3 separate regions of the Mus musculus genome follow, and regions 1 and 3 are each reported to be linked to region 2. Evidence: microRNA targets listed by miRTarBase, many of them from high-throughput screens and not tested one by one. Region 2 holds a microRNA gene; each other region holds the end of a gene's coding sequence.

Evidence for each region. Region 2 holds the annotated microRNA mmu-miR-3105-5p (AGAGCAAGCCCGUAAGCAGCGU, at 5,271-5,292, shown strand). A microRNA usually pairs through its seed, bases 2 to 8, with sites in the 3' UTR of a target mRNA and lowers its output. Matches are read on the target gene's strand: a 7mer-m8 pairs with bases 2 to 8, a 7mer-A1 pairs with bases 2 to 7 and ends in A, and an 8mer does both.
Region 1: miRTarBase lists Xpo7 as a target of mmu-miR-3105-5p. The part of its 3' UTR that is shown has no 7-base or 8-base seed match.
Region 3: miRTarBase lists Hacd3 as a target of mmu-miR-3105-5p. Seed matches in the 3' UTR shown: 7mer-m8 at 3,992-3,998.

The regions. Positions count from the first base shown.
Region 1 is chr14:70,661,272-70,668,034 of GRCm38, reverse strand. Xpo7 (exportin 7) reads left to right here. Exons shown (of 28, transcript NM_001359888.1): 27 at 886-1,013; 28 at 1,941-5,909. The coding sequence ends at 2,034. It also overlaps a transcript of Npm2 not described here. Among named protein-coding and RNA genes, the nearest start is that of Npm2, 12 kb to the right of the region's middle.
Region 2 is chr7:144,003,997-144,010,624 of GRCm38, forward strand. It overlaps Mir3105 (microRNA 3105), which reads left to right and starts at 5,258; the gene lies at 5,258-5,342. It also overlaps a transcript of Shank2 not described here.
Region 3 is chr9:64,984,872-64,991,571 of GRCm38, reverse strand. It overlaps Hacd3 (3-hydroxyacyl-CoA dehydratase 3), which reads left to right. Exons shown (of 11, transcript NM_021345.2): 9 at 492-598; 10 at 1,124-1,255; 11 at 3,043-4,589. The coding sequence ends at 3,119. It overlaps Ints14 (integrator complex subunit 14), which reads right to left. Exons shown (of 13, transcript NM_001077631.2): 13 at 4,591-5,713. The coding sequence ends at 5,471. Among named protein-coding and RNA genes, the nearest start is that of Gm25640, 17 kb to the right of the region's middle.

The DNA.
Region 1 (6,763 bases), not on the chromosome of region 2:
GGAAAGCTTATTAAAACAAAAAGGAAAGGTAGGCAAGCCAAAGGCTATGATTTCCAGGCTCTGTGAAACTCCTACCACCACTTGGCAATCAGATAGGGGGAAGGCATTGACTAAATATATGCTGTTCCTACTTCCTGTGGAAGTACACTGTCTATACACAGTCAGATTTAGTGGCCCATGCATATAATCCCAGGATTTGGGAGGTGAAGGCAAGAAAATCAAAAGATTAAGATCATCCACAGTTACACAGTTAGTTTGAGGCCAGTGAGCTACACAAGAGAGACCCTATAGAAAACAATAACAGCAAAAAGTCCACAACACAACCAGTTAATGGAAAAGATAGTGAGATAAATCCTTTAAAAGGGAGCAATGTTCCTAGACTCCAAAGCACCTAAGACCCAAGCTCTAGGTCTATCTCTGTCTCAAGCCTTGAGATGCCCCTGACAGGACTTTTGATGCCAGGACAAGTCTTGAGATGCCCCTGACAGGACATCTGATGCCAGGACAAGTCTTGAGATGCCCCTGACAGGACATCTGATGCCAGGTCTAGGGGCAGGTGCTTACAGATCCAGCACTTGGGAAGTGCAGGAAGGAAGGTGGATCCACAAGTTCAGAATCATGAGTTCCAAGACATCCTGAGCCATTTGAGACACCCTGCCTAAAAACAAATAGTGTGGTGACTGTGCCGTGGTCAGCAGGGGACGGGAGGCACAGTAATCGTTAACAAGCCGCCTTACAAATTACAAGTTTCTGTTTTTAAATAATATGAAAACATCTTTTAAGTGCTTGGATTTTTAAAGTATAAATTGAATTGTGGTAGATACTGCCTTCTTCGGGGAACATTCATCTGCCTTCTTTCACTTTGTCTTGTTCCTTGGCCCACAGTATTTTTCTGACCTAAGAAACAGCATCGTCAATAGCCAACCACCAGAGAAACAGCAGGCCATGCATCTGTGTTTTGAAAATTTGATGGAAGGCATTGAACGGAATCTTCTGACGAAAAACAGAGACAGGTAAGTGTCTGGGTCTTGCCAAGAAGTGCTATTATTTTTCAAACCATTGAAGCAAGCACAGTTCCATATGCATCTCTATTGACCAGATGTGAGGTGCATAAAGCAGTGCTGTCTAGTAGAGAGGCAAGCTACATGTGTAATTTAGATTTCTTCATGAACGTTTTAGTGGTAACCCGAAACATCCACAGTTATTTTGGTGTATGATGTCTTAAAATTGAGAATGTAAACTCTCTATATTATTGAGAATGTAAGGTAAGTCTTCAGAAGCATTTCTGTGTTACACCTAATGACCTAAACTGAGATGCTAAGTGTTTGTCAGAAACACCTAACCTGAATTATATTTCATAAACTTAGAGTTGATACAGGATTCTGTACCCTGGTTGTACCAGACATCAAAAATTAACTATCTGGTTTATCTGAATTGTATAATTTTAGTGAAAGTGTTTTAAAATAAAAGTGATTTGAGTGTGAATGGAGAACTGAATTTAAATATTATTTGATTCAGCTCTCACTGGCCATAGGCAAGTGCTCCCTAGCCGTTTATAGTTAGCAGCTTCCATATTGAACAACACGGCTCTACGTCCTTAGTCTTTCAACTCTGAGGACTGTAACAACCTCATGTCATTTCTGCCTTTACTTTCTAAGGTTAATTCCCATCTCTTGTCAAGCAGTTAATATATCTGTGTTGCTGCCACAAGCCCAAGATGGCCCTCCCAGATTCAAGTTTGACCATCTCTGGTCTGCCATGAAGTTTCCAGGAAAAAGTAGAGGTGTAAATAAGACCACCTTTCCCTAATAGTTCTGAGACTACGGTTAGCCGATGAGGCACGATTTGCTGTATTCTGCTTCCCAGTAGCCATTTCTCTGCTTAGGAAAAGACCTTTCCTTTCTACCTCCTCCCCCAACCCACATGCATCCTTTCTGCAGGTTCACCCAGAACCTGTCAGCATTCCGTCGAGAGGTCAACGACTCAATGAAGAATTCCACTTATGGAGTGAATAGCAATGACATGATGAGCTGACAACTCTCGGACTCTACCTTGCAGAGCAGCGTCCCTTTGGTCTGGTCCAGAGGGTGAACAGTTGCAAGGGAGAGAGCCTGGCTGATCCCGGCTCCTTCCTCCAGGGGTATGGGGGAAATGGCAAAAGTCAACCAGCTATTTCCCCAGAAAGTACGGGGAAGTACGGGGTGTGCGTGCACTCACTGAGGGACAGGGCACTGCTGGTTCCTGGGGGACTGGGGTGGGAAGGGGTGGTGGGAGGAGACAGACGCACAGGCATCTGAGCCTCCGGCCGCTCCTGGGGTCACCGTGCAGGGAGAGCCCGGCGCCCTGCCGCAGCCTGCCTTGTATAAACATGTACATTTTTTCATAACGTTTTCAACAAGGTTTATATTGACTCAAGTTTAAAAACAAAAGTGTGACTGAAAACTTTTTACAGAGTCTAGTGCACCAATGCTGACGTGAGGGGTGATGTATGGCGAGTGAAGAAAATGTGCATTGTGGTGGCCTGAAGCTTTATTGGACAAGGATGTGTGAAAGTGCAGAGATATATTTAGTGACACAGTGTAGAGAGGCAAAAAAGGAAAAAACTCCAAATGTATATTTTTTCTTACTGCCCTTTCCCTCCCCACCCCCACTGATGCGTTCCTGATGCTGTATTAACCTTGTTATTAGGAACTCTGAGCCATGCGGGAGCACCACCCTCCCCATCCATGGATGCTGCCCTGGGCCCCCCAGCCTCCTGCAGTGACAGATAACTCCAGCTAAAGTCTCTGGTGTTCTTATCTCCATCCTTTCTCCCATTTTACTTAACCCTCATCCTCAGAAAGATGCCTCTTGCTATTAAAAGTCGGATTTATGTTTTAGGATTCTTGGTCTCTATAGGGAGACGACAGAGAATTGAGCCATTTGCTCTCTTGTTGAGCAATTTGCATGAGTCCACCAGAGGCCTAATATGTGTGGCCATAACTTTTGTCTTCCCCAGCCTTTGAGGCAGTGTGTGTGGATGTGTGTGGATATTTATGTGTGTACCCTGCACTCATGAATGTATGAACTGGAGGAAGTTACTACAGGGGAGGGCTCTCAATAACAAGGTCTACCTAGCATGAAGTATTTAACATTCTCCCTTGAAAAATATACATTTTTATAAAATAAAAACCATAATAAATGTTTTGAATATTAAAAAAGAAAAGTGAACCTACAGAGGAACATTGGATGGAGAAAACTCTTTGCCTTGTACTTTCCCACAACTGCTGCTAGTTATATACATCTCTAGTACAGCTCTTACCCATGGGACATTACCAATTAGGTTTTATTTTTATTTTCCTCAATCCTCACAAACAAGCTTATTAATTTTCCTTCTCCTCTGGCGACTGTGTGGTGAATCTTTTCTTGCGTGATCAGGTTGCGGATAGACTTGTAAGGGTGTTTGCTGCATACAGTGTAAGCATTGTGACCGCCAATAAACTTCGATGGTTTCTACTGACCTGGTTTCAGCAGTCACGTGTAGTGTGTTCAGGGATGTGTCTCACTGTCAACACATGGAGATATTTAGACAAACATGCTTTTTTTTTTTTTAAGCCAGTAGGTGCAGAAGTCCCTGTGTCTTGTAAAACTAACGCAGACTGTGTCTGCCTCAGCTCTTCTGACTGGTTCAGCTCACATACTTATAGCATAATGTTCTCCAGAGTTGTCAAAATGAAGACAGTCTACCTCTTTCCAGGTAATAAAGTGGCGACCTACATATAAGCAGTAGCTGAAGAAAGGCCCATTGGGTTAGTCCTTACACCTGCCTCTCTGATACAGGCTGGGCTTCATTTATTAGGCCTTGACAAGGTCAGTGGCAAATGTTTTCCCCTGGAATAGAATGTATAGGCCAAATGAAGCAAATAATGAAGACTAGTTTCTGTGATTTATGGCCCTGTACTGCACAGTGCTTTGATTACGAGGGAGCCCATGGCTAAGACCATTGAAAAGCAGGAACAATATAGGGCAGTTGTGGGTATCTTACCTGCAAGGGCCCAAGAGCCAATCCTGAATTCCTTCTTAGGAGTCCTAGAAAAACCATCCTGGCACATGCTCAGGAGAACCTGGGATACTAATTCTGAAGTAAATAAGACAAAGGGACTAGGAAGCTGTCTCACAAACACTAGAAAAACCTTGAAGTAACAGCTGGTCAACAAAACCCCAGTGTCCTTCCCTCTCTCCTACGGAAGAGACACTAGGGATGATAGTACCTTTGGTCAGTCACGGCACAGTGCTTAAGCTTGAGATCTTCCACGGCCCCAAGCTGTGTAAGACTCCGCTGACAAAGGTTTGCCCTGACATAGTAGTGCATGCCTTTAGCCCCAGCAATTGGGAAGCAAAGATTGGCAAATTGAAGTTTGAGGTCAGGTAGGACTACAAAGAAACCATGGATGGGGAGAGAGAGAAGGGAAGGTTTTTAGGATTTGGGAAATGAAAACAGGATTAGTTCAATATATACCTTGGCTACACAACAAAGCCATTCTGGACTACATGGGACCCCACCCCAAACACACATTACTAATTTCATAAAATTTAACCTAATACGAAATTCAGTTATTTTTCTTTTTACCTTTTTATTTTGTTATTTTTTTTATAGTCCAGTCATTATCTCCCTCCCTTTCTGCCCTCCCACAATTCCTCATCCCATTCCTCCCCCCACCCCTCTGAAAGGATGTCCCCACACACCCCTATACTCCACCAGGCCTTCCCATTCCCTGGGGCCTCAAGTATTAGGTGCATCTTCTCTCATTGAGACCAGACCAGGCAGTCCTCTCCTGTATATGTGTCAGGGGACTTGGACCAGCTAGTGTATGCTGCCTGGTTAGTGGCTCAATGTCAGATCTCACTGGGGAGGGGTTCCAGGTTTGTTGAGACTACTGGCCCTCCCATGGGCTCTTCAGACCATTGGTCAGGTGTAAGTATCTGCTTCTGTCTCAGTCAGCTGCTGGTAGAGCATCTCAGAGGGCAGCTGTGCTATATATAGACTCCTGTTATGCATGTCCTTTTGGGTCTGAGATGCCTCACTCTTGGTGATATTTTCTAGTTCCATCCATTTGCCTGCAAAACTCATGATGTCTTCGTCCTTGATAGCTGAATAGCATTCCATTGTGTAAATGAACCACATTATCTGTATTCATTCTTCCGTTGTGGGACATCTAGGTTGTTCCCAGCTTCTGGCTATCACAAATAAGGCCACCATGGTCGAGTACATGCCCAAGAGTAGTATAGCTGGGTCTTCAGGTAGATCTATTTCCAATTTTCTGAGGAACCTCCAGATTGACTTCCAGAGTGGTTGTACCATTTTGCAATCCCACCAGCAATGGAGGAGTGCTCCTCTTTCTCTACATTCTTGCCAACATGTGATGTCACCTTAGTTTTTGACCTTAGCTAATCTGGTCGGTATAAGGTGGTATCTCAGGGTCATTTTGATTTGTATTTCCCTGATCAGTAAGGACTCTGAACATTCAAGTGCTTCTCAGTCATTTGAGATTCCTCTGTTATGAATTCTCTGTTTAGTTGTATACCCCATTTTTTTCTATTGGGTTGTTTGGTTTTTTTTTGGAGGTTAGCTTCTTGAGTTCTTTATATATTTTGGATATTAGCGCTCTATCAGATGTGGGGTTAGGGATGAATTTTTTTCCAATCTGTAGGTTGCCGGAAATCCTATACCTTCCTCTTTTCTCAGATGTCATGGAAAGGTGTATGTTGTGGTTATCTGTGCTGTTCCTGGACACAAGTGTTTCATCTACACAGTGATATCTGGAATAAGCTACACTGAACCCTAAATTCCCTTACTGATGTTTATTAAATTTTATTGTGTACTATGTATTTATTAGCTTAACCCAAATAAAGCTAATATTTTCCTACTACAGTGCAAACCAAAGATGGGATTTTACTCAGAGTTGAAATGTTAGATTTTTATATTCTGTTTTTGGTTTTATTTTGCTGGTTTTTCAAGACTAAGACTTCTCTGTGTGACAGCTCTGACTGTCCTGGAACTATATAGACCAGGCTGGCCTCAAACTCAAGAGATATGCCTGCCTCTGCTTCCCAAGTGCTGGGACTAAAGGTGTGCACCACCAACCACCTCCTGGCTAAGTTCTGTTTTGATATGTGTTCTTATGTAGGCAAGGTTAGATTCAAATTTAATGTAACCAAGGTTAGCCTTGAATTTTGGCTCGCCTCCCCTCCTAAGTACTGATATCATAGGCATGTGCCACCATGCCTAGCTAGGCTTTGAAATTTTAAAAAGTAATGACTTGAGGCAGGTACCTCAATTTTCTAATGGAAAGTGACAGGATGTATTCTCTTTCTCCAGAGCATAGGCTTACTCTAATTACTCTCTCCTGGAGAGTAATGCTCCAGGATCCTGTAATCAATTTCTTCTAAGCACATAGGCCATTTCCAGAATAGCCATGGTCCTAGAACATGGATTAACCTAGATAGCCAAAACAGCACTCAGCAGCCAGTTCTGTCCAAACCAGAACTGACAAGATCGACAAACCTACATGGTAACCACTAATGTGTCAAACAGCAACGCAAAAATGGAGAGGAAGAACAGTTGGCTTAACTGTAAAATCCTTGCCACACTTAGGAAAACAAATTTGAAAGAACTAAAATGTGTAGCCCCAACTACAGTGAACCATCTATTAGCTCGGTGCGGTATTGTGGGGGAGGGGGGGGCTCTTCCTTTCAGCTATCTTCTAAGTTGATGACACTTGAG
Region 2 (6,628 bases):
CAATGACCCTCTCTTGGTGAGTGCTACTTAGCTGGATGGCAATGGCTGAGCTCAAGGACCTACCCAAAGCTGATGAACCATCTTTATCATCTCTGAGATTGCTTTGGGGGACCTGCCACCAGAAGCATGTGACAGGTTGGCAGATGGCCCTAAACCCACAGAATCCTGATCCCTTGATCTTGTGTGGCCCCAAGGGAACTGGCAACAAGACTGAGTTGAGGGAGGGCCTTGTGTATGGGAGATGGCCTGGATAATCTTGCTAGTCTAATGTCATTAAAGCCCTTGTATAGGGGCTGAGAGAAGCTTGGAGAGAGAGAAGATGATGCCTCAAGAAGCCAAGGCAGAACCTGGAGAGATGCAGCCATGGGGGCAGGTGGGTAAAGTGCTTATTGTGAGAGCCTGGGGACCTGCCTGGGTTTGATCCTCAGAACCCACAGAAATGTAGAAGGAGAGGATGTAGGATGTAGAGGATGTCGTTGGGCGAGGGTTGGGTAGTAGGGAAGCCCGGGGACACCGCTCCAGGGGTGGGGAAGCACAGACTGAGGAGCAGGACAGCCAGAGCTGGCTCAGGGGTCCCTGGGCCTACAACGTGGCCGGGGCCATCTGGTTTTTAGGTTCTCAGGGTCATCTGGTTCTTAGGCTCTTAGGGTCATCTGGTTCTTAGGCTCTTGGACACCCAGGCACCACTGAAAGCTGTGGAAGAGCTGAGAACAGAGTGGGGGGCCCACGGGCTGGATCTGGCCTGGGGTTGAGGGAGAAAAGGGGAGAGCTCCAGCTGGTCCCTTGGGGAGAGTTCTTGGGTTGATGGGCAGCAGTCTTGAGCTTGACTTGGTGGCAACCATGAATGGGAGCACAGACTGTCTTCTATGGAAGATTAGACAGGGGCTCCATGGTTCCCTACTGCAGATCCCAGCGAAAAGAGACAGTCCGTGGTTTTAAGGCATTTATTGTCATGGTGGAAAGTGAATGAATAAAACCATACCCCGTTTCTCAGGGTGGGCCTGAGACCTTTTGCAGGGAGGAGTCTCTGAGAAGAAAAACTTACTGGCTAAGCCCTCCAGGCCTTTAGGTACCTCATTAAAATGGAGATCTGTCTTGAGCCTATGTGACCACAGGTCATGTCCTCTACATGTGGAGGGGCTTGGGGCATTGCCCTTACATAACTGTTGGCCACAAATCTATGGAGGGCTGTGGCTACTGACAGGGACCTGGTGCCTGGGAACAGGCTAAGCATCTACCATCCCTTCAAGGTCTCTGGGGTTTCAAGCCTTAGCTCAACTGGGAACCAAGCTACCTTTCATGGTCCCACAAGAGGACAGACTCCATCAAACAGTTCTCTGATCTTGATATGTGTGACATACATACATCTTATATACACACAATGATGATGATGATGACAACAATGAAGAAGAATAAGAGGAGGAGGAGGAGGAGGAGGAGGAGGAGGAGGAGGAGGAGAAGGAGAAGGAGAAGGAGAAGGAGAAGGAGAAGGAGAAGGAGAAGAAGAAAGAAGATACAGCCATGGCCCAGGGATGTCTAAAGCCACAGGAACTGAGAGAAGCAGGGGGATGCTCTTCTGGGCTTTGAGGCTCTGGGAGAGTGCAGTATTGCTTACATAGATCCAGCTGGGGGTTCTGAGTTGTTGACATTGGCTTCCAAGAGCAAAATCTCTGCTGCTTGAGACCAGGCTTTTGTACTTTGTGGAATGGTTGTAGGAGACCGCCACAGGATGTGATGGGCTCCTTTTCAAGCCTCTGGCTTTCACTCAGCAAGAAGACAGGTGTGAGCATCCATTTCTGAGGGCTCAGGTTCCCTTGACAGCACACTGGTTACTGTGGGAACACCTGGTGGCAGTTTCCTAGGTGGACAGCAAGGATGGCAGGCAGCACTGTGATCTTTGGGATCCTGAGGCTGTGGGGAGGATTAGCTTTTGTGACCATAGTGGATGAGGTAGAGGTTGATAAAAGGACCTGGCTTGAGGTAATACATTGGAGATACAGGAAGATACTTGATATCCTGCTGTGAATTCTGCTTGAGCATACACTGGAGTACTCGTGTGCATGTAACACACACACACACACACACACACACACAGACATCAGGCCCAGAAAAGTTGGCCTGGTCTATGACATGATGCACATCAGATCTTCAATATGAGGGACTCTCAGGGAACGTTGCAGGAATCAAAGGTGAGGCAGGAAGGTGGATAAGAGACCACCAGGACATCACCTACCCCAGGAACTGTGGGCCAGTTTTGGCTGTCACTCCATGTGTGGTCCGTGAGTCTAGAACTCTCTGGACCTGCACAATAGCGGCTTCATGTTTTCACCTGAGAGAGTAAAATGCAGCTAGAGAGTCAACATCAGCACCGTGGGCTTTGTAAACTGCAGCTTTGAGAAAGTGTGTCTTGTTAAACCTGAAATGTCACAGTGAGGATCAGGCTCAAGTGCGCGCGAAGGTGGCAACAGTGATTGAAGGCAGGCAGAAGAGAGCCGGTGCCGGGGATGTGCAGGCTGCAATATGAATTGAGCCCTTGGCTTTGAGAGCCTGTGGAGGTAAAGTGGGGCTCACAGCCACTTCCTTAGAAGTCCTGCCCTAGGAGAGGCACACCAGAGATGGACAGGATCTAACAGCAAAGGTGGCTTGGCTTTCAGACCTTTGGCAAACAGTGTATGCTGTCCAGCAACTATGCCTCCAGGAGATGGGGTACAGGAGAGATGTGAGCAGGCACCATACATTGGACCAGAAGATGCCGCTGGAACATCATAGGTCACTGTAGAAGGCAAGACGGCCACATGGATACCATGCCTCATCAGGTAGGATTCTGATCACCTGAACTGTACATGATGGGCAGCCACCCTGTCTAGGATGAGCAGAGCCATGGCCAAAGCTGTAGGCATCCACACTGCTGTGAGCAGAATCAACAACAGGGATTCCAGAAGTCAGCAGAAGTCTAAGCGGATAGCCTCTGGCTAGGAAAAGAGGACTTTGCTTTAATGGGTAGGGGCCCAGTTTTATCTTTTAGGGTTATTTTTCTTGGCAATTTACAAATTGATGTAAGATTCACGTAAAACTTACTCTGGTGGCCGACTGGATCTGGAATCAACTGGAACAGTCCTCTGGGTGCTCCCGTGAAGGATTTTTTTTTTCTCAGATTATTTGAAGTAGGAAGACAGACCTACACTTGATGTCAGCAGCAGCCCAGATAAAAGAATGGAATGAAGGAAACGTTGCTTGCTTACCATTGCTCTCAGTGGCAAGTTCAGAGGCCGACCACTGAGCATATCACCAATACCTGGACCAATTTTATCAGCCTTCTGCTGTAGACAGAGTCCCAGCAGCCCTTCAGGACTGAGCAGCTGCCAAACTCTCCATCACTCTGGATGAGCTAGCTAGAGTTGAACTACCCAGACAGCATTGTGCAGGCCAGCATGACACATCCCCTTTTAAAATGCCCCCATCCTATTGGTGCTCTTCCACTGGAGAGTGCTGTCTCCTATGCTTACCACTGTAAAGTGTCCAAGTCAGTGGCTCCTGACTATGCTGTACAACCATACCACTGTCTCTTCTAGAATGTTCTTACCTCCCCAAGAAGAAACCCCTAGGTCAACAGCAATCATGCCTTACCTTCCCTTGGCTCTGAGTAACTACACTTCTGGACACTGTATAGAAATGGTTAGACAGGATATGGCCTTCTGTGCTGTGTGATTTCACTTGGCATAGGGTCCTCAAGGCTCATCCATACTGTAGCCTGTACCAGTGCCTTGCTCTTTTTCACAGCTGGAGAATATTCCATCGGCCTGGTTCCTTGTAGATTGATTCCTACTCCTTGATGATTGCCAGTGATGTGGTGATGAGGGGGAGGATGGCAGATAGACAAATGCTTTTACTGCTCATGGGTTTGGAGGAAGGAGGGAAACTGCCCACAAAGTGACAAGCCTCTCTTGGCTGGCAGACTGGCCAAATAGAGTGGCTTACTCCTGATTGCACACTGAGGAGGGGAGGGACATTCCTGCCACTCTCTTAAGGTGCAGCAACCCTTCCTGGATACCAAGGACACTTCTCAGACCAAGTAACCAGTTTCCAGCTGGAAAAATAGGAGTTTTTCCCCCCACAGTGATGGCCAGCCTTGCTCCAGGTTGTAGGGTGGGGATACTCCTGAAACCAGGGTTCTGTTGCAAGGTGTCACAGAGACTCTAGGGCTCAAGGGGTCATGGAGAGGGGCTGAAGCTTGGCACGGTGTAGCAGGTCAGAGTCCCTGAAGAGAGGCCAGAAGGTCACTGGTGAAGGGACAGAGTGTGGTGACGCCAGGACCATGGAGATCAAGGACACTGGAATACGAGGACAATGGGAGGATCACCAAGGACAGCAGCAGCTGTGGTGTGGAGTCTGCCTGAGCCTATGTGTTATGTGTGCTGTGCAGGACAGAGCTGGAGAGGTGGAGCTGCCCAGGCCTGTAGGAGCCCAGAAGATGGTGAGCGAGGGCCAGATGCAAGACTCTGAGTTACAGGATGTAACGCGTACTGCTGTGCTTGGTTTTACTTTGTTCAGACAGAGACGGTTTCCCGGTTCTTCTCTCTTGGAATGAGAAAGTTCTTAGATTGACTTGGATTTTTTTCTTACAGGAGCTCACAGTTGAGAGACTTTGGACTAAAGAGACATTGGGTATTTTAAAGAGACTGGTCTTTTTTTAAAGTGTTGAAATTTTTAAAAAATTGTATAGGTATGATGTTTGCCTGGTTGTATGTCTGTGAACCATGTGCATGCAGTACTTGTGGAGGCTGGCATAGGGTGCCAGGTGCCCTGGAAGTGGAGTTACAGACAGGTGTGAGTTGCCATGTCGGGGCTGGGAATAGAACCCAGGCCCTCTGAAAGAGCAGCTGTTGGTCTTCATCCCTGAGCTAACTCTCCAGCCCCAAGTGCTGAAATTGTTAAAGACTACAGGAATTTAAGTCACACTTAGTTTTTCATTGTGATATTAACATAAGATCTTGGAGATAAACAGAGAGGATGTTATTATTTAGTAATTATGTATTTGTGTGTCAATTTGGCAAGGAGTCAGTTTCCTGGTTAGTGACTTGACATAAGCTAGCGTTGCCTGGGAGGAAGAACCTTAGTTGAGGAATTGCCTCTACCAGATTGGCTTGTAGAAGAGCCTATGGGGCTTTTTCTTGATTAATGATTGCCATGGGAGGGCCCAGCCCACTGTAGGCTGTGCCAGCACTGCGCAGGTGGCCTTCAGTTGTGTAAGAAAGCTGAGCAGGCTCTGGAGAGCAAGCCCGTAAGCAGCGTAAGTTACTGAGGAACACTGCTTATGAGCTTGCACTCCATAGCCTCTGCTTCCACTCCTGCCTCTGGGTTCCTGCCTTAGCCTTCCCTATTCTCTCCATGATGGGCTGTAAGCTGTAAGATGAAACTTTCCTCCCCAAGTGCTTTTGGTCACCTTGTTTATCACAGCGATAAAAAGCAAACCAGAACAGAAGGGGTGCTAGCCAGGGGGTCCCAGCTTCACTGCACTGAGGCCACCCACAGAATTCACAGCCCCCCCAAAGGGACTATTCAAACTTGAGCCCTTCCCTGTTCCTGAAGGCTTGGCAGGAGGTGGAATGAGTTGGCGCAGGCTGGCCCTCTGAAGGATTGCCTCTTCTCCATGTCATTAGTGGCTCTTGTATTGCTTTGGAACGTGGCCTCCCGTGTGTGGGCACTCTCAGTCAGGTGTCGGGCCTGCCTTCCTCTGCTTTAGGCGCCGAATGGAGTAGGTGGCTGAGTTCTTCCCTTCTCTTAGCCAGCAGCTGCTGAGCCGCACACTGAGCGCTCTGCGGGCTGAGGCTAGTGTGTCCTGAGCTTCTGCTTCAGTAGCTTGGGCTGCTCCCATGGAGAAAGAGCAAGATGGACTTGGGAGCTTTGCAGGCTGGGTCCCTGTGCCAAAATGGAGGCACTGGCCAGGATGGGTGGCAGGCTGAGGCTGCTCCAGGCATGGAGGTTGAGGATTATAGAATCTCAGAGCATTCCCTCACCTTTCTCTGCCCCTCCTTGCGAGATCAGGTGTTTTGCTCAAGTGGGACAGAGTTGGGGGTGGGGAGGTGGATAGAGGGACCTCCAGACCGCTGCTCTTCAGCTGGTGGCCTCCATTACCAGTGTGCTTCATTTATAAATCCAGGCAAGCAGTGCCTTCTCACCTACAGACCCAAAGCCCCTTAGAGTCTATCAAAACATTCTTTCTTGGGGATTTGAGTTTCTCTCGTCTACCTCATTGCACAGAAGATAAAGAAAAAATTTAAGTTCTCTGAAATATTCTAGAATAATTTTAAGCTTTCTTCCCTCCTCCCCTTTCCATGTACATGCATGTATGCATGTTTTGCATGTGTATAGGCACACATCTGTAGGTGTGCATGCATGTGGAGGCCCCTAGGGTTGATGTAATCTTCTTTGATCACCTTTACCAGCTTAGTCTTTGAGGGTCTCTCAATCAAACCCAGAACTCATCAATTGGCTAGTCCTGCTAGTCATCTTGCTCTGGGGATGCCCAGGCTCTGCCCTCTGGAGGCTGTAATTACAGGGGGGGGGCTGCCATATCTACCTGATATTTGTATAGGTTCTGAGGATCTGATCATGGTCCTTACATTTG
Region 3 (6,700 bases), not on the chromosome of region 2:
ATTTGAAACAGATTCAAGGTCTTTGATGATAACATTTTGGGAAGAAATTAATTTCTTGTGATTTTTAAAAAATTTTCTTTTTCACTTTTGAAGAAAGGTCTCACTATGTAGCCTTGGCTGCCCTTGAACTCTCAGAGATCTTACTGTCTCTTCTTCTGCGATGAGACTTAAAGACATGCACTACCATGCCCAGTGTGATGTCTCTTTAAGCCTGAGCATTTCTGATTCGAGATTAGAGGCTTTTTGTATAATTTTATAGAATTACTCATTTATCCAGAGGCAGCTAGGCATCTCTCCCTACTAGGAACATAGATGAGAGCTAGGAATAAAGCTATGTTCTAAGCATCCAGCACGGAGCTGAACAAAGAGGGTTCCTTGAAGAATACACTGAGCCTGCCCATAGACTTCACAGCCTGGTGTGTGAGAATGCCCATCTAGGGTGGAATTCAGAGCCTGCAGTGGCTGTTGTCTTTGATTTCTGTTTTCCATAGGTATCCCTTCTACATGCTCTCCTGCATTGACATGGACTGGAAGGTGCTCACGTGGCTCCGTTACACTATGTGGATTCCGTTATATCCCCTGGGATGTTTGTCAGAAGGTATTTTTAAAAACTTTAGGTTCATAGTATAGCTCTCAGGGGTGCCCATGTGGTAAGAGGCTGGTTTCCTCTCTGCCAGCCGTAATCTAATCAATGTGGTATTAAGACCTCAGGCCTTTCTTCCTGATGGCCTTTTTCCATACTCTTTGTCTGACTGTTCCAGAGACATGGGTCTCATTGCGTAAGGTTTGGAAGCTGGGTGCTCCTGTGCTGCATGCTTTTTATTTACAAGCTATTCTTAATATTCCAAAGAGAGATCTTATTAGTAATTTCATTTTATTATGACAGCCCCTAGTGAATAGATCAGACACAAAATTTCCTCCCATTTTATAGATGAGGAAACAGAAGCCCAGTGCTGGGCTGTTCTCATCAGTCTCCTGGAAGCTTAGAGGCAATGTGAGAACCCGGGAGCTTTCTGTACAGGCGGGTAGGAGACATCTCCTGCAGCCTCAGGCTGGAGCTGTGAGCCCGAGGTGCTGGAAGCTCATGTGTTCCATTTGCTTCTCACTGCTTGCTTGCTTTCAGCTGTGGCAGTGATCCAGTCCATTCCAGTATTCAACGAGTCGGGAAGGTTCAGTTTTACTTTGCCATATCCAGTGAAGATGAAAGTCAGATTTTCCTTCTTCCTTCAAGTTTATCTCGTAATGTTATTTTTAGGTAAGTACGTCTCTTGTCATATTTTAGACAGGAGAGCTAAGTGGTTCAGTTTTAGCATCCCTTAATATAATTCTACTTCTGAAAGAGTGGCCAGGGAAAGGCTTTATTTGTGCAAACAGACCCAGTAGGAGAGTTTGCTGCATGTGGAAATCTTTCTCTCAGGTCTGCAGTAGCTGAATTGTGAGTGCTCTGTCAGTGCGAGTCTGTCATATATGTGGATATTGAGGCATACCATACAGTATCTCCCGATGACCCACTAAGAGCTCTTCTAACAAGAGCAGGAGATGAGAACCCTGCTGCCTGCATTCTAACCTACTTGGGGCTGAGGAGGAGGTAGAGGCGTGGCAAATGAGGGGGGAGGGAGGTGGCGATGGTCTCTGTTGGGAAGCGCCCCGCTGATTATGGCCGCCTTAGTAGGTTTGTATCCAACATGAATTCTAGATTAACTCAGAAAAGCTCAGAACTAACCGGAACAAGAGATAAACTTAAAATTACTCGAAAGCCACCGTAACTCAAGGATTTCCTGTAAGCATCGGTGTTTAGGTTATGTATTTGACTTGGTAGATTTAAATAAACATAGCTGCGTTGTAGGCAACAGTGGGTTCAGCCACTGCCAGTGTGCTAGCTCTCTTGGTGTGTACTGTATTCATCAAGACGTAGCCACTGATAGATAACAAGAGTTGTCTTCAGACTGGCAAGGCTCAGTGCAAGAGAAGGGAGGGAAGGAATCAGTAGTGAGCATCTAAGAGGTTGCCACCCTGAACAGAAGATGAACAGTACAAATGGCCTGAGAGGTTAAAAAGCCGAGTGGTCTCCATGATTTAGTGTGGGAGGTTATACTACTTAGGAGGCCCTATGAAAAAAAGTTAGAATTCTGTGTGGTGGCTCACATTTGTAATCACAGCAGCAGGGAGACTGAAGCAGGAGGACTGCCTTAAGTTCAAGGCTAGCCCAGGCAATAGAGTAAGGTCCTGTACCCAGTAAAGAGTGGAAATATTTTAATATGCAGTGACCCTATGACCTATCTTTTTTTTAGTGTTGCTTAATAGAAAGATATGTACATGTTATTATTCAAAATTAAACCAATCCAAAATTGTAAATTTTGGGTCTTAACCAGGTAGTATATGTTCATAGGTCAAGGAATTTTTTTATGCACATTCTTTCATAGTAAGTATGTGATGTGTTTTTATCCCTGTTGTACAACTGAAGGAACTGAGGTGAGGCTAAGCTACAGAACTTTCTGGTTAAGTAGAATTGAAACTGGCATCTGAAATCCTGTTTCCTCACATACTGCTTTGTACTTTCAGACTGTAGCTTACTTTTAAAAAAGTAAGTTCTTTAAAAAAAAAAAGTCAGTTCTTGAATAGCCCTTCAGCTCTGATTTAGCCACTCATTACATATGTATGGGGGGAAAACAGGCAAAAACCATCGTTAACTTAATCATCTATGTAGGGTGAACTGTATTGATGACTATATTAATATTGAAATGTGTCAAAACATGAGAGTCAGATGAACAGATCATAGGCATGAGATACACACAGTCTGATGGAAAGTTGGATCCAGAAGCTGTTCAGTAGACAAGGTTTATCTCTGTCTAACCCTGCACAAGAGGCCATGAGCAGTGAGGCCACAAGCCCCTGCAGGGCTGGACACCTCTCGCAGCACTGCTGTGGGTTCCGCTGTATCTGAGCAATAGATTTAGTGCCGTGAGGCCTGGGCACAAACAGCAGATAACTCACTTCCCTGTCACAAGGACATTTCTAATCAGTTGGTTTTTTTTCCCCTAGGGTTATATATTAATTTTCGTCACCTTTATAAACAGCGCAGGAGGCGGTATGGACAAAAGAAGAAAAAGCTCCACTAAAGATGAATTTGGTAGCTTCATTTGAGCAGAGTCTATGATTCCTACTCTTCTACTTCTTGTACTGATATAAGGGTTTGTTTTGTTTTGTTTTTTAAAGTAAGGCTGTCTCTCTTTCCCAGTAACATTCCTGAGTCTACTGTCCTTATCTTAGTGTTGTACTTGCATGACATGGATATCTGGTATCTGAGGACAAGTTCATTCTTGTGTATTTAATAACAAAGGTGGCCCTCTTCATGTCTGCTCCTCCCTACAGGCACTGTCTGTCTTCACAGGGCTTGGTCTTTCTGCTGCCACTTGTGAAAACCGAAAAAAAACAAGACTACATAGCACCGACTTTTTGAAAATCAGATAAACATGGTTATTGACATTTTTTGAGTCAGAGTAGGGCTGGAGAACACTTCATATTTGATGCCTTTTAGCTAAAGACATTCATTACTATAGCACTTCCCAGGCATTGAAGAGGCAGAGTGATTTAGAGAACGAAATCAGAACCTGGGAACACCATGACTACTTCATTTCTAGCTAAATCAGAACTGCCTTCAACACTGGAGAAAGGGAGAAGTACTGCGCAACAGAGATTAGAAGTCCAAATGTGAATGGCTGCAGGGGTCAGAAGGGAACAGAGATGCAGGAGACAGGCAGGATCAGTTGTGGTAATGATGCCTGTGGCAAACACAAACACCTACTTGGGCTGCACACAGTCACACAATCAATCTATAATTCTTGGGGTTAGCTCAGTCCATTTACTTGTGTATTTCTGAGTGGTTGGTGAGATTACTTTATTGAACTGTTTTTTTCCTTGTTAGATTTTTTTTTCTCTTTTTTTGTTTTTTAAGATAGGGTTGTTCTGTGTAGCTTTGGCTCTCCTAGAACTTGCTCTGTAGACCAGGCTGGCCTTGAACACAGAAAGAGATTCATCTGCCTCTGCCTCCTGAGTGCTGGGATTAAAGGCAAAAGCCACCACAGCCTGTTTTGTTTTGTTTTCGGTTTAAAAACAACAACAAACTGTGTGCATGCAGAATACAGACCTTGAGGTTGGCTACTGTTCAAGACAGCTTCAGTCTCTCTACCACATTCCATGTAAACCTATGGTGAAGTAACACCAGAAAAAAGAGCCTGAGAGTGGTCGCTTCCATCTTCCACTCCCCTTGTTCTTGGGGGGAAAGGAAGGAGACTTCTGCTGTTGCAGTGAGCCCAGAGTGGATTGGCATTAAACTGGCTGCTTTGACACACCTCATCTCACCCAAGAGTATTTCCCAAGTCTGCAGCTTCCGTCAGCGATTGTTGTGTTACCTTCTGGTGTTCCCTCACTGATTGTGGACAAACCTGGCAGTTGAGCTTTGCAGTCAATTATGCCGTATCCCTGTGCAAACTCCCATGTTCTAGTTGCTGTTAGCATCCCCTTTGTTGCTGTCTGAGAAAGTGAAAGATTGTGTATTTCTATTAAAACATTTACAGTCAAAATCCTAATAACTTGTGCTTAAACATCATTTAATCTCATGAGTTTTAAATGGGTAAAGTGCTTTGTTCAGGCACAGTGACTCTGGCAGGAGCCTAAGGGAGTACTGAAGGCAGTCACGAAGCACTGGGTGAGCACTGTGCAGGCACAGCCTGGGAGGCCTGACTCTCCCATCAGTGCTCTCAGAACCACTGGCCAGAACCTTGCTGAGGTACAAAGCTTGATCACTGTCAGAAACTAGGAAGTTACACAGGACCCGAGAGACATTGCTTCTTAGGAGTCTGACATTTTGGAAGCTGTATTATATTCAAGGGATAAGATAGATCAAAACACCATTTGTTTCTAAGTGCAATCACTATAGAAAATCAAATATTTAATTTTCATTTAAAAACATGAACAGGAGTGATTTTACACATATTGTGGTTACAGTCTAAAAATGTGTACCTTGGGATACACCAGAAGCACCTGAGCATTGCCACTTGTATTTTAACAAGTTCTAAGAAAAAAATTGAAACTCAATGGCATCGGGTTTGTACTTAGGCAAGTTCTAGACATCTGGATTGCTTCTTCCAAGCACAGAAGTTTAAGAATGTCCTTGTAATTGAGACATGAAGAGTCGCTTTCTGGATGCTAGACGGCCCTGGCTGCCTAGGCTTCTTCCTGCGCTCGCTCCTCATCTGTCCAAGCTTCTCAGGAGCTGTGCCTATCATGGAACAAAGGCTGTTTCTGGACCTAGAGACTGAGCCCCAGACAACCAGCCTTCAGACCTTTCTCAGACTGCAGTAGAAACATTCAGACGGGCAAATGCTGTTTCTGATAGAGCTGGAGAAGGTTTTAACTCTAAATTGCCTTCAGACAAAGTGAACGTGAAGGAACGCTCCAGAGCTCAGCATCACATTCTTTCAGTGCTGCTCCCTGAGAAGTCTGTGTGCAGGGGTGTGATGTTGTGGTCATATATGGCATACTCAGTGCTGGCCAGCTTGAGCTGCTGGGCAGCGTGGGTGAGCTGGAATGCGGCGTCTGGGTGGGCTGTGTCCGGCAGCAGGGTACACTCCCTCTCCAGCATGTCGGCCACCCCTTTAAGCAGGTCCAGGAAACCAAAGGCTAAGGCAGCTTTTCGTAACCTGTTCAGCTCCTGAAACACATGGATAGTTCTCTTCACACAATCTCCAAGCACTCTGCTTAGACTTAGTTCTCTTTGACCCTCACTTAGGAAGCAGTGTTTTACACAAGGACCAGGGACAGCAGCGTGATGCATAACTGGCCAGTGATGTCTGCTGCATGCTCAGCTCAGCAGCTAGAATCGTCAGCAAGCTGATCACAGTTAATGCAGTTATGCCAAACAAAGCAAGCACCTTGCATACAGGATTCGTGCTGACTCTGGGGACTGGTTTCCCTCTCCTAATCAGGCATGGGAAAGGCTGGCTCCAGATGTCGGCCTCAGCCTGGTGCCTCTCTGATTAGATATGGAGTGAGTGACTGAACACATTTGGAGGAGACAGCAGAGGAAGCACCCACCACTCGCTCGAACATGTTGTGGCCAAGCTGGGTGGCTGCTGTGCTCTCAAATGCCCTGTTTACACAGGGAGGAGGCTCCTTCCTCGTGCACTTGAGGAACTGAAGCAGCCAGGTGTCAGGCCTTTTCTAGTTCTCAGACGTGAAGCTAGTTATAATGTATCAGGAAAAATAAAAGACCACCTCAGGACTGTACAAGCATGCTTGCTTGAACAGAAAGAACACTAGCAAACATGTACAAACTGCAGAGATAGGCTGCAGCTGAGCCCAGGTCCAGGGCTTATGTGGATCACAGAGTTTGGAGGTATGGCTGGCTGAGAGGCTTTCTGACCAAACTCTGATTAAAACTATATTTTGTCCAATTTTCCCAGATTGCTAGTAACTAGATTGAAAGACAACAGTGATAAAGGTAGTAAGATGTTACTCAGACAAGGTAGGTGTGCTCTCCGGAAGATATACTCACCCAAGGGTAAATTTTATTTTTATTTTCATTTTTATGTATATTGGTGTTTTGAATACACACACACACACACACCATGTGCATACTTGGTGCCCTCAGAGGGTCAGATCCTCTGGAACCATTTAGATGGTTGTGAGCCACTGGGAG